Linked DNA regions of Caenorhabditis elegans. The protein of the gene in region 2 interacts with the protein of the main gene of each other region in a pairwise test. Each region holds a gene or a part of one and is shown on either strand. Other genes may lie near its edges.

What was found. The genes of interacting proteins can lie anywhere in the genome.
Region 1: the proteins of lelo-1 (region 2) and pfkb-1.1 interact in a two-hybrid assay, tested with the Caenorhabditis elegans proteins (one large-scale study listed by BioGRID).

Annotation. Positions count from the first base shown.
Region 1 is NC_003279.8:5,129,663-5,136,189, reverse strand, and holds pfkb-1.1 (6-phosphofructo-2-kinase domain-containing protein), read right to left. Parts: upstream 4,671-6,527; 5' UTR 4,669-4,670; coding exon of another isoform or gene 4,651-4,668; coding exon 4,593-4,650; intron 4,287-4,592; coding exon 4,161-4,286; intron 4,107-4,160; coding exon 4,004-4,106; intron 3,948-4,003; coding exon 3,881-3,947; intron 3,824-3,880; coding exon 3,680-3,823; intron 3,632-3,679; coding exon 3,371-3,631; intron 2,864-3,370; coding exon 2,270-2,863; 3' UTR 2,085-2,269; downstream 1-2,084. Other genes in the region: Phosphatidylinositol-3,5-bisphosphate 3-phosphatase mtm-1, read right to left, coding at 82-263, 309-479, 820-1,038, 1,094-1,200, 1,244-1,315, 1,384-1,423; Y110A7A.7 (Fungal lipase-type domain-containing protein), read right to left, coding at 5,143-5,272, 5,322-5,491, 5,654-5,965, 6,028-6,144, 6,202-6,411.
Region 2 is NC_003280.10:6,241,634-6,247,719, forward strand, and holds lelo-1 (GSKIP domain-containing protein), read left to right. Parts: upstream 1-4,723; 5' UTR 4,724-4,732; coding exon 4,733-4,824; intron 4,825-4,870; coding exon 4,871-5,049; intron 5,050-5,099; coding exon 5,100-5,226; intron 5,227-5,270; coding exon 5,271-5,343; 3' UTR 5,344-5,586; downstream 5,587-6,086. Other genes in the region: tat-4 (Phospholipid-transporting ATPase), read right to left, coding at 1-107, 163-342, 896-992, 1,035-1,203, 1,400-1,502, 1,550-2,105, 2,482-2,600; T24H7.8 (Small vasohibin-binding protein), read left to right, coding at 467-679, 749-826; blos-4 (Biogenesis of lysosome-related organelles complex 1 subunit 4), read left to right, coding at 4,121-4,183, 4,232-4,432, 4,479-4,535; T24H7.2 (Hypoxia up-regulated protein 1), read left to right, coding at 5,683-5,743, 5,790-6,086.

The DNA.
Region 1 (6,527 bases), on a different chromosome or scaffold from region 2:
TCTTTTGTGACATTTCAGCATATTAGAATATTAATATTCCGATTATTTTTTATTATCATTAAAAATAAAAATAAAACCTACCGCTCGTCCTCAGCACTTCTTTTTCCAGAAATTCCAGTCATTGGCTGTGAGCATCGTGAAATTGAAGCTAAAGTTGTCTGATTAATCCAACTCAACACGGGAATTCTTTCTTTGCTTCTAAACTCGCCGAGCTTCTTTACAAATGGTTTTCCTTCCTCCCAAGATACTGTCGGAATTACAAACTGAAATAAAATTATTTTTAAAAAAGAAAACCATCATTAACCTACAGTTCTTGGATAAGTTTCGCTAAATTTATAGTCTTTATTAATGTCCACTTCTTTCCAAAGACGTGAATTCGGGATTCCAAGGCGTTCATATTCTTTTTCAGCTGAATAAATTTTCCAACCATCTTTCATAAGTCTAGGTGTTTCTGCTGCATGTACAGAGGCGAACATTGGCTGAAAATTTCCTTTTTTGGTTGAATAATGTTGTTTTTCAAGTTAGGCTGTCTATTTCTTGGTTGTCAAGTAAGTTTTTAATAAATCATTGATTGTTTAAAATCTACACAATAAACTTTTTGCGTGCCGAGACCCATTTGAAGAAATCCGTGCGGCTTTCTAAGGCGAAAACTTGTGAAATTACGATACCGTGTTTTTTTAACTTTAATTTTTTTGCTAACCAATAAATGAATAATTAATTTTATTTTTTCGTAAATTAAAAAAAAATATCAGAATTTTTTTTCATTTCCAATAGTTCTAGAGCCAAAAGCCCCCTATTAAAATTAAAAAAAAAACTCACCAAATTATGCGATAGCGGAAAAGCGTATCTATTCAACGAATCGCAAACATTTTTTCTATCACTCGATGCTGGATTACATGTAAATCGATAAACTCGATAATCTTTACAATAAATTGTGAATCCATAATTATCATCGCCTCGTTTGGCAACACTCGTCGTCTTTCTACCAACTTTTTCTATCCGAGACACTTGTCCGAGTGGAATATCGAGCTTCCATTGCTGAAATTTTTTGTTTATATTTGTAAAATATAATTTTAAAATTTTAATCACAAACCTCATACATTTTTCCACCATCACCAACGAGAAAAACCATTCGATACCTAGTAATTACGATTTTACCTGGAAATTTTCCAAGTGGTCCGAAGTATGTCACATTTTTCTCTGTAATTCCTCACATTATAATTGTTAAAAAATCAATTCCAACCTGTCCAAATAAGACTTTCTGCGGCTAACAATTTGAGATCTATTGATTCTTGTATCATTGATGAACTGGCAACTGAAATGATAAAATAAATTGAATTCAAATAACGAAATTTCATAACGAAATAGTTCGTGATGACTCACATTCTCCAACTTCTCCACTATTGTTCCCTCTGTCATCCATTGATATTGACATTTCGATCAATTTTCCTGTAAATTGATTTTTGAAAGTGTATGAGAATGTTTGAAAGCCGAATAGTGGAACGATTATTGGGAAAGAGAGAGAGAGAGAGAGAAGAAGGCCACTAAGAGACGCAGGTATGTGCAGAAAATAAATACAACTTGCTTCAGCTTTGTTTTTATCGTAACTTCACAATATTTTGGCAATCCTTTTTAAAACCGCATGGATTTATTCAGATGTCGTTTTCTTTTCACTTTTCTGTCAGAATATGTTTAAAATCAGTTTTCAAAGTACAAATAAACTACTTCCATTAAAAATGTGGGATTTCCTGTGTTTTTTTCATACAATGGTTTTAAACAACGACAAAATTCCCTTAATAAATTGAAAAATGCAAGAAAAATAAACGAGGAAGCAGCCGCAAAAATTCAAACACAATTACCATAAACTTTTTTGCGCGTCGGGACCCATCTGAATAAATCTCTGCGCCTTTAAGGATTAATTTTTATATGAATTGATTTTTCTTTTAAAATAACAACAACTCAGTTACGCGTTCTTGTTTGGTTTTCTTTTAAATTTTTAATGTGGCTCCTGACCGTTTAATACATTAAAAATAGATTATTGTAGAAAATGACACAGCGAGAAATATTGCAATCAGTCCATAAAATTGAAATCGATGTAATCTTTATAACTCTCACATAAACGACAACGTATTTAAATTCAAAGGCAATTGTTCAAAAACAGGGAAAATGCAATCTCAAAAAAAACGCCCGACATAAAAATGGGAACTTGTATGAAAAAATAAATGTACATTTGGCATAGATAATTGGCTAGATAAAGAATAAATACTTCCTATTGTGGCTTCTCTCTGTAAGTATTGACTGCTTCGATGTCGAATTTGAAAAGTTCAATCTCACAGGAATAGGCTTTTGGTGTGAGCTTGATGACTGTATGCAATGGAACCTTCAGATATGGAAGATCATCTCGATTTTTGTTAGTAAAATAGGCAAGAATGCAACGGAGAACTGCTTGATGAGAAATGACAAGGACATTGGATTGTCTCTCAAGCTCCATGATAACTGGCTCCAGACGAGCAACCAGATCTTCATATGATTCCCCACTTGGATAACGGTAGTGATATTTATCCTTATCTCTTTCAGCGAATTGTTTCGGATAACGAGCCTCGAAATCTTCATAAGTTAATCCTTCACATATTCCGGCATCGATTTCATCAAGACATTTCCAGAACTCTGTATGACCAGCGAGATCTTTCAGATGAGAAGCTGTCTGGGCGGCACGAATCTTTTGAGATGACCAAACACGGAAATCGTCCAAATCTTCTTTTTCGAAGTATTCGCGAAGTTTTCCAGCGTAATTTAAACCATTTTCACTGAGTGGGGAATCACCACCAAGACGACCAATTCTGTTGTACTCACTTTCTCCATGCTGTAATAAATTTTTTAAAGGGATTTTTAAACTATAAAAGTTTAAAAATACTTGATAATTCTCAGTGCTGTTAATTGAATGAATTATATCCCAGAAACGGAATTTTGTGCCAAAAAAACCGGTGTCCGGTCTTGACACGACATTTTTGTTAAATGAAAAAAGGCATCACCTTTAAAGAATACTGTAATTTCAAACTCTCGTTGCTGCGGAATTTTCATTGATTTTCTTTTTTTTTCACGATTTGTTAAAATTCAAGTTTTTTTACGGGCTCTCTTAGCTTGTTTGGTAAAAAAATATTAATTTATCAAAAAGTGAAATAAAAAATAAAAACGTTTTTACAGCAAATCGTGAGAAAACTGAAACTCAATGAAAACTCGGCAGCAAAAAAAATGAAACTACAGTAGTTTGTAAAGACGCACACTTTTTGGCATTTAATAAAAATTTTCGCGTCGAGACCTGTTACCTATTTTTAGCGCAAAATTTTTTCGGTTTTTTTGTTAAACTTACTCTTGACAAATAAATACTTCTTGGAAGAAGATGAATATTCATCAGGAAATACACAACACGACTCTGCACATGACCATTAACATTGTGAACATAGAAGGATTTTCCGGCATTGATAACTTTGATATAGCTCAGCTCTTCATCATGATCCTCATCAAGTGGCTCATATTGCATTCGATAGTTCTCGATACGCTTCAAAAAGTCTTCTTTTGCTTCCTCTTGAGACATTATTCCTTTATAATCTGGCGAATTGATTTTCACTTCCTGAAAATATGCGGGTTAAGGTGATTATTTTGAAGATCTAAAGGTTACCGTGATATTCGAGTTGATAATATCAGGATCATCACAAACAGATTCCACAAAGAAGACACGGAATGGTGGCTCGTGCATCATATTTCTGCAAAACTCCATCAGAAGCTTTCGTCGGTCTCTTGTAGTATTTGTCGCGTCGAGAATCTGAATAAAAAGTTTATGTCTATATATTTTTTTGAAATTTTTTCCTTTGTAACTCACCGCCACTTCTCCTTCCTTGTTATCCAAGTACCTTCCCATATCTTCAATGGCTAATTTCGCGCACTCACTGAAAATTCAGGAATTTTTTTAATTTTTTTTCTTCATAGTTTCGTAAAATCTCACTCTCGGATCTTTTGACCTCTGGCGTTGTTTGGCGAGAAGAACTCATTTTCGCCTTCTTCTTCCAAATTACACGCTCTTCTTCTGTACTCGCCGACATTGAATGCTGTAATTTTGATTTTTTGTTTCATGTCGTACATATAATCGAATCAGGACCAACCTTTGGTCTTAATTCCAATCCAGTTGAGGTAACGACACAGTTTGTGTGAGATGTATGTTTTGCCACGTGCCGGCAGTCCGACAAGTGCGATGACGTTTGGAACTCGAACCTGCTCGTTTGAGTTGTCTGAAAATTGAGATTTTTGAGAAGACAATGTGGAATGAAAATAAAATAGGGCTAATCGATCAATTTTATGCACTTTTTCAACTCAAAATGCGTCCAAAACGGCTCAAAATTTCGAAAAAAAATGGGCTATTTGATTTTAGCTAAAATCTTCAATTTTGCCAAATTTTCCATGTCGAAACGGACGGAAATCAATTTTAATTGAAATTATGTGAAATAAACTATCTTTTTAAATTTCGCTCATTTGGGCACATTTCGAGTCTAAAAGAGCAAAAAAAAATGGTAAGTCCTCTTTTAAAGTAAACTGACCACTCTTCGGCACGAAATACGTCATTTTGCGCTGCGGTACGCCGGCTGGCCCAGGCATCTCGTTCTCCTGCAACATTTCTAGCCGAAATGATATCGTCTCTTATCAAAATGATTCCGAAGACAAAGGCTTATCATTTTAATCAAATATTAAGAAATCAATAATAATATTATTGCGCCGGAGAGAAAGAAAAACAGGCAATGATAGAGAGAAAGAAAGAAAGAAGGTTCGTGTTATGAATGGGAAGAAAGTAGACACAATCTTCCATAACAATAAAGTAGGAAACCGAAAACGAAAAGAAAAATAACCAACAATTCATTTTCTGTGTTCAACCATCCCTTTCTTTCTCTCTTCTCCTCCCTTGTTTCTTCTTACACTCGAGTTCGCGGGTGTCTTATCTTCTTTGGCGCCTCCTCTCTCTCTCCAATAAAAAGAAAGTCCTGAGAAAATATACGTGACACACGGAAGCGAGAATATTCTCTCAAACCGACTTTTCAACAGTTGAAACGACGAGAAAAAGAATCGCAATTCAATCAACATTTTTAAATTTATTTAAACATTTTCATTATTTATTAATGGTTCATCATCCGGTGGGTCTACACATCCATTAACACCGTAATCTGAGACGTGGTGTCCAAAGTAGAACAGGTGATCGTTGATGTCAAAGTAGCGATGAGTGTTGCTGTAAGAGAAGATTTTCTTATCACGTGATTTCGATCACTGTCACTTGCCTGCACAAATTGTCCTCGTTCAATGGAGTCCCGGTGCAAACTTTGAACGTATCTTGACTTGTCATGTTTCCAGGAAACCAGACTTCGACTCCATGGTGATAGGATCCATGATTGTAGAATGGTATACACCATCTGGCATAGCTTTCCACGCAGAACGGAATATGTGCAACCTAGAAAAAAAACTTTTAATAGTCTTTTGAAAGAGGATATTTTGAACCGCCAGAAAAAAATTTCGAACTTGTTTGAGAAGTTTCATTACGAAATTCGCTCATTTGGGTGCATTTTGAGCCTAATAAAGCATTAAAAAAATCTTAAATATTAGTCTCCCTCACAATATCTCTTCCATGAATCAGTCTCCAGCTTCCTCCAGCAACTAATTTGTCATGTGTCATGGCATATTCGAGATTTCCAACTCTAGGCTGTCCGAATGTGATTGAAAAGGTTCGACTCGACGTTTCGGGAAAGTTTCTAACGAAAACAGTCGATGCAATACTTGCAATAGCTCCGCCCAATGAGTGTCCTGTGAACACAATTTTATGATCTGGAAGTGAGTCTTTCAGTCCTCGCAGTAGTTTTTCCATTGGTGACCACATTGTTTTTAGAGCAGAGTAGAAGTAATAATGAACTGATCCAGCATTGTGCAACTGTAAAATAAGTTTTCTTTGCTCTGTGAGTACTCAGACAAACACTTGAAACATGAGCCTACTTTGTGCTTTGGCCGACCAATGCTTTCGATAAGTTCAGTTACCAGCTGCTCTTTCGATTTTGTTCCACTGAAACTGACGAATATTGTGTCGTTGTCGGCAGCAATCACACTCCAGCACTGGAAAAAATTAAATCAGATGATTTTTGAATATTTAAAGATCTCATGATCTTTTACCTCGTCACGCATATAATCGCACTCCACCTTTTTGAAAAACAATAAAGTCGCATTGTTTTTCGAGATGCAAGGTTCCGGATCGATGGAATACGCAGCCGCTGCGAATTCCAGAGTTCTCTTGCTCAATTCATAGTCAAAATCTCGATTTACTTTCTTGCAATCAGCTAGAAAGAAGAAAAGACATGAAAAAAGAGCGAACCCGTTTCGCATATGGGTCGAAATTCCGATCGAAAATCACTGAGACCTGGAGAGGAAAATTGGGAGGATTGAGAGTTGTTTACGAGGTGAAAAGTTGTTAGATTGGATAAGTGTAAAGATATATTTAA
Region 2 (6,086 bases):
AATATCATCATATTTTCAGTAAGTGTTCCTGTTTTGTCTGAAAGAACATGTGTGACTGTTCCAAGTTCTTCGGGAATACTCAAAGAACGACAATCAATCGCTCTATCCTGAAATTAACAAAAACATTAATTATTTTCAATTTTCAAGTTCAAGTTGGCTTGCCGATTTCTGATCATATAACTGAATATCATTGCTGATAAAGTAGATTTGAAGTGCTTTGATAATTTCTACAGTAATATACAGTGAAATTGGCACAAGAAGTTGATAGTTGATAAAGAATGCACCTATGCCAATGAACCCCTCTATGAACGGTCTCGGTGTGTTTGAGAGAATGAATGGAATCTGTAACAAGTATATGTCTACGTCTCTTTGTCTTACATGTTCTCTGGCAAGAATGGAAACTGCGCTCTGTTGTACAAAGTATTTCATTTCTTTTTCTAATATTTGAACTAACTATTTCTATAAAATGGTTCGCAAGACGAATAAAGAACACAAGGATGTTTCGGTTCAAATTACAAGATTTAAGAACGAAAAAAGTCGTTGTGATCGTTCGGATTTTTTGAAATCTCAAAAAAAGAAACCTTCAATGCCGTTGGATCACTTGAAGGATAAGGAAATGTTGAAGAATCGACGTCTACAGAAGCGAAATGTAAAACGAGAGAATCAAAGAAGGAAAGATGTAAGCTTAATGTTTTTTTGATACAATGCCAAAAATATATCCCATCTACAGTGAATTTCTCTTTTCTAGGTGTCACTTGCTGCTGCCCACCACATCGAAAAATGCATAGATTCTCTACAGAATATGAATGTTGAACCATCCAAATAAGACTTCTAACTCTTGTGTTATGTTTTCGGGTATTTTTAAATAAATTTTGCTTTAACTTCAAAAATAAACCTGTTCATCAACTGGATGTTGTCCAACCCAAACTGCTGAAGTGATAGCGCCATACAATACCATAAGGAGAAGCATTATGAAACAAGCAATTATAAATCTAAAGATATCACAGTTTTATGTTAAAGTTCAACGTGCTCACTTGTTTGTCAGTTTTTCAATTCCAGATGTTTTGTGTGGAGCTCGTCCATTGTTCTGCATCACTTTTGTATCGTGACCTGCATAAACCACAATTCCCTCAACAAACGTTGTGTTTTTGATACGGGAACCCCGAAGAAGCATGTTTTCTTTGATAATGACGTCAGATTGGCCTGAATATTCAGAATTAAAATAATAACAGTCAGAGTTATTATTGGTTTTTTTTTGTCAAAACTGCATTTGGTTGTGGCTAAACGTTTCCGAATAGTTGACATTTATTTAGTAACTAATATATAAAATATGAAACTGAAAAACTTCCCCTGTAGCTAGGCATCACCAAATTATTTTTCCAACTCAAATCGCTCTCACCTGGTTCAAATTCCACTTTCGCTCTAATTGTGTAAATACTTTTATCTGGCTTCTCACATGTCACAACTCCTGTGAAATCTGGTGGCTTGAAGGTAGAGTCTTTCTAAAAATAAACAGCGTATAAATTGAAAATCTAAAAAATTCGCAAACCTTTGAATAATCAATCACTTTTGCAGGAACCATTCTTTGTTTCAATGATGTTTCACCATCTAAGTTACATGTTTCAATATAACATGTTCCACTTTCACTTGATGAACGTAATAAAATGATATCAGCTGGCACATCTTGATTATTTGAAATATGTACAAAATCGCCAACTAATATATATCTCCATTCAGTTTTTCGAAATGCACATCTATCTCGATCCCACACATGACATGTTTTCTTATTAATCTGATTATCAAACTTATATCTTCGATAATCTTCAATTCCGTCTTTGATCAAAGTTGTTCCCAATACAAAACAAATTGGTATTAATCCAACATATCTTGTGTAAGCATCAAAAAATGGTACCCAATTGAGTATTGCAATAAATATAAAATATAGATTTGCGTATTTTGTGGACACTTGATGCCAAATATTGAGTGGAATGAAGTTCCAAAATGTGTATTTAGTTGTTGAAATTCGATTGTCAGTGAAGTCTCGGTAGTTGTTTAGTTCGTAACGAGGTGATTCGAATAGATGATTGGGACGAATCACTCGAGATCTAAAAAACGACAGTTCTTGGATTTTTTTGAAATGTATATTGACTCATTATTTTTTAAATTAGAATTTATCAGCTTGAACGAAATCAGAGCAAGACTTGGTTAAGACTCCCAAATTTTACTTTTTCAAGAAGTTGAATTTTTGTCAATATTTTACCAAAAGACGGAGCAGGTAATTGGAAAGAATTGAATTAAGTTTAGACTAATCTTGAAAGTCTGAAATATACTTCTTCCATTTTTTTAAAGCTTTCAATTTCCGAACCAGCTTCCATTTTTGGTGAAAGCTTGACAACAAGTTAGGCAGCTCCTTGATTTTGAGCGTTTCAAATTTTGTTTTTTTAGCTCAAAAAAAATAAGAAATTAATTCCTATAGCTTACCCAGTTTCTCTGTTACTTCGTCCTCGAAAAATAGAAATAGGATTATGAAGTGGTGCAGATGGAGGAACCCATTTTGAGGATGATCTTCTGTGAAGATGTGTTGGTCGAGGTGTCGTCATATTCTCATTCCTTAATGACTAAATATTTCTTTAGAAATGAAAAAGAACACAAAATGACACTGAAAAAGAGGTGAGTGCGAACTGAGTCACACTTTGCCGCCCTCCCACTATACTACTGATACGGAGACACAAATCGATAACAATGTGGAAAGCACTGCAAAGTTGAAATTAGTTATAGACATGACACGTTACAAAAGTATGTTCTATGGAGAAAAGAGCTGCGCGTATGAACTTTTCAGATGGAACTTTCGTATTTGGGTATTAACAAGTGTGAAATAAAGTGAATCATGAACAAATATTTGTGTTAGTGATGCCAATTCAAAGCAGTATACTTTGGAGATTCACATAGAAAATGGCATGCATATGTATTCTTGAACATTCATTGTTTTGATATTTTTATTTATGAATGGTATCATGACGTATAACAAAAGTACATGTTTTCTATGGAAACAATAATAATTGAAAAGTCTATGTCATGGATATCTATCTTTTGAAAACTGATTCCAAAATAATTCAAGGGATGACCAAAAAAGCGGATTGGTCTCGCCGCGCGGTGTAAAAAGTAATTTTGCTTATGCGCCTTTAAATTCACTGTAGGAAATTTCGATGTTTTTAGATCAATTTTTTCTAATTTGTGCGAGAATATTCGTTATAAATTAGAAGAACACGAAAACGATATAAAAACTTTTTAAAAAAATTAATTTGCCTGATTTTGTACATTTGTCCCATGTGACGGATTGCCCCATGTACTTTTACAGTTCTCTCTTCAATTCCATTTGAACACCCGCCAATTGAAACAATACATCTTTGCGTGATGGTGTTTGCAAAGAGTACAACAAACTTTACGCGCATGTATTGCTTTGTTTTTAAGAGCTTATTTTTTTATTTTTTTTTTGTATGATTTCTGAACTGCTAGCCGTTTCAATTTTCCCTTATGATATTTTTATCGATTGTAAGCGTTAAATTTCCTTCTTTTAAAATTAATCATTAAAATTATTCAAGCGACGGCCATTTTTCAAACACATTATTCGAGTATACTCGAAATAGCTCAACATCTTTTAATAAAAGGCGATTAGATTAGTTTTCCACATATTTAAGTTCTTCGTAACGTTATTATTTTTGTTCGGATAGTACGTCATAGAAATTTCTCTGTTTTTATAGGAAAATTCAAAAACAGTCAAAATTTCGAGCATTAAAACTACATATAACGTTCGCATGAATCGAATAATAAACTTAAACATTCCGCGTAAATTTGTGTTCGCTGGAGCGTGCTTGTTGCTTAGAATTTCTATTGGATTTTGCAAACGGACGTTTTTTCAGTTAAAATAACATTAAAATTAATTCTGCGGGCTGAAATATTTAAATTAATACCCTTCGAAATTTAATCTATATATTTTCAGTACCAATTATACACTTTCCAATTTAATAATACATTTTTCAAACCATTTCAATTCGTTCTCTTTCTTTCTCAGCCTACGTAGATTTATGCATCGTCACATAAAATATCGATTTTCAGGACAATGACCGGAGTTGATGACATATCGTCAAATGTGCATAAGCTGGTGGGAGTCACCGCAGGAATGGTAACGTTTTTTTATTATTCGTTTTCTAAACTAAAATGTTGTATTCAGAATACTGCAGCGTCCACAGGACCAATGAATTTGGTTCTCGATAAGTGTTCCGTTGTGCTCGAAGAATTGAGAACAATTCAAATTCTAACAGAGACACATTCAGAAGGACTCAGCGAACAGCTGAAAATGACAGAAAAGAATATCCTCGAAATGGAAAATTTGTTCGATCAAATTGACCAGCTTTGCTTGTTTGTTCAAAAGGTAAGGTTTAGTAGTTGTTACAATAATAGTTAATTGCAATTTTCAGGCAAAATCCGATCTCGACAAGCTGGAAAAACTTTACAATGTTGTTGACAGACAATAATTAACTCATCCAATTCACTGTGCCATGATTTTATTACGGGTTTTCAATTTCCCAGTCTTACATGTATTATAATGAACTTATTTCAAAAAGTTGAGAATTTATTTATCTATTTGCTGTTTTTAACAGTTTCGAATATATATATATAATTTTATTATTTATTTTAATAAGATTTTAACTTCATAATTAAGAACTCAGTGATGACACAACAATCTGACAAAGATGCCTCTGTGAGCGAGACGACGACTCCACCAACAACTCCTGTTACTGTCAAAAAGCCGGCGCTTTGTGGGTTCGTTGACTATAATTTTTGTTTAAATTTTATTTGAAATTTTCAGAAGTTGTGATTGTGATGTGGAGAAGTCCACCCTTGAGGAAGAAGCAATGGCAGCTGTTCGTGAAAATGCATTTGCAGTCAACTTGATTGGTGTAAGCGAAATGCTTCCACGTACTTCACAACTTCTCTTCATTAATGTAACTACATTCGAGAATCACACTCATTGTATCGAGCTCACTCGTAAGTTCACTCAGATGAGCAATAAATAATTATAAACCGAATATATTCAGAAAAGGGATGGCGAGTTGCATCAAATCGCAATGACTGCATGAATGGTGATTTCCGACAACTCGATATTCATACAAAGTATTTCGAGTCACTCCATACGCTTCTTATGGATATTTCGCCACTTTTCCGGTACCATACATTTTTATTGCAAATTTCTAAAATAATTTTTACAGTGAGACATTCGGATCGAAATTGATCTCCAAGTTGAGTGAACTGAAGAAGGAAAGAAGCGATTCCGATGAATAATTTCTCACTTCAAATCTTCATGTTCTACCATTATTACAATTCGCATTATTTTCCTAGTTACATTGCTCAAATTTGCGTTCAAACACATCTAAGTTTTTTTCTAGAATATTAAGCGGTCTTGTTACGTGGCAACTCGCGTAATCTTGCCAACCACCGTTTTGTCTCATTACACACTTTTATTCCATCCCCGTATACTTTGTTCCGTTGTGAAGTTTTCTGTGTATAAAGTATGTCAAAATTTTCTTTTTTTTTTCAATTAAGCGTATTCAGACGTTTACTCGTTTTTCTTACCTGAAACAAATGCAAATTAGGTATTAATCAAGCCAAATTTCAGTGAACATGCGGTTACATGGGACAGTCTTGCTGGTTATACTCCTCGGTTGCCTTTTCGCAACTTCAGGTAACAAAAAAACGGTATTGGAAATATCATAATTATTATTTTTAAGATGGACAGTTGGCCGCCATGACAATTGACCTCGGGACTCAATTCCTTAAAATTGGAATTGTAAAACCTGGAATTCCAATGGACATTGCTCTGAATACGGAATCGAGAAGGAAGACACCGAATGTTGTTATGATTCAGGATGGCCACCGAACTTTCGCTGATGCAGCTATCGGAATGCAAGTCCGGTATCCTCATCTTGTTCATGGACAACTCAACGATTTAGTCGGCAAATCCACACAACATCCTTCATTTGAGCTATTCAAAAGACGAAATACCTTCTTCGAGGTTGATGATGCTC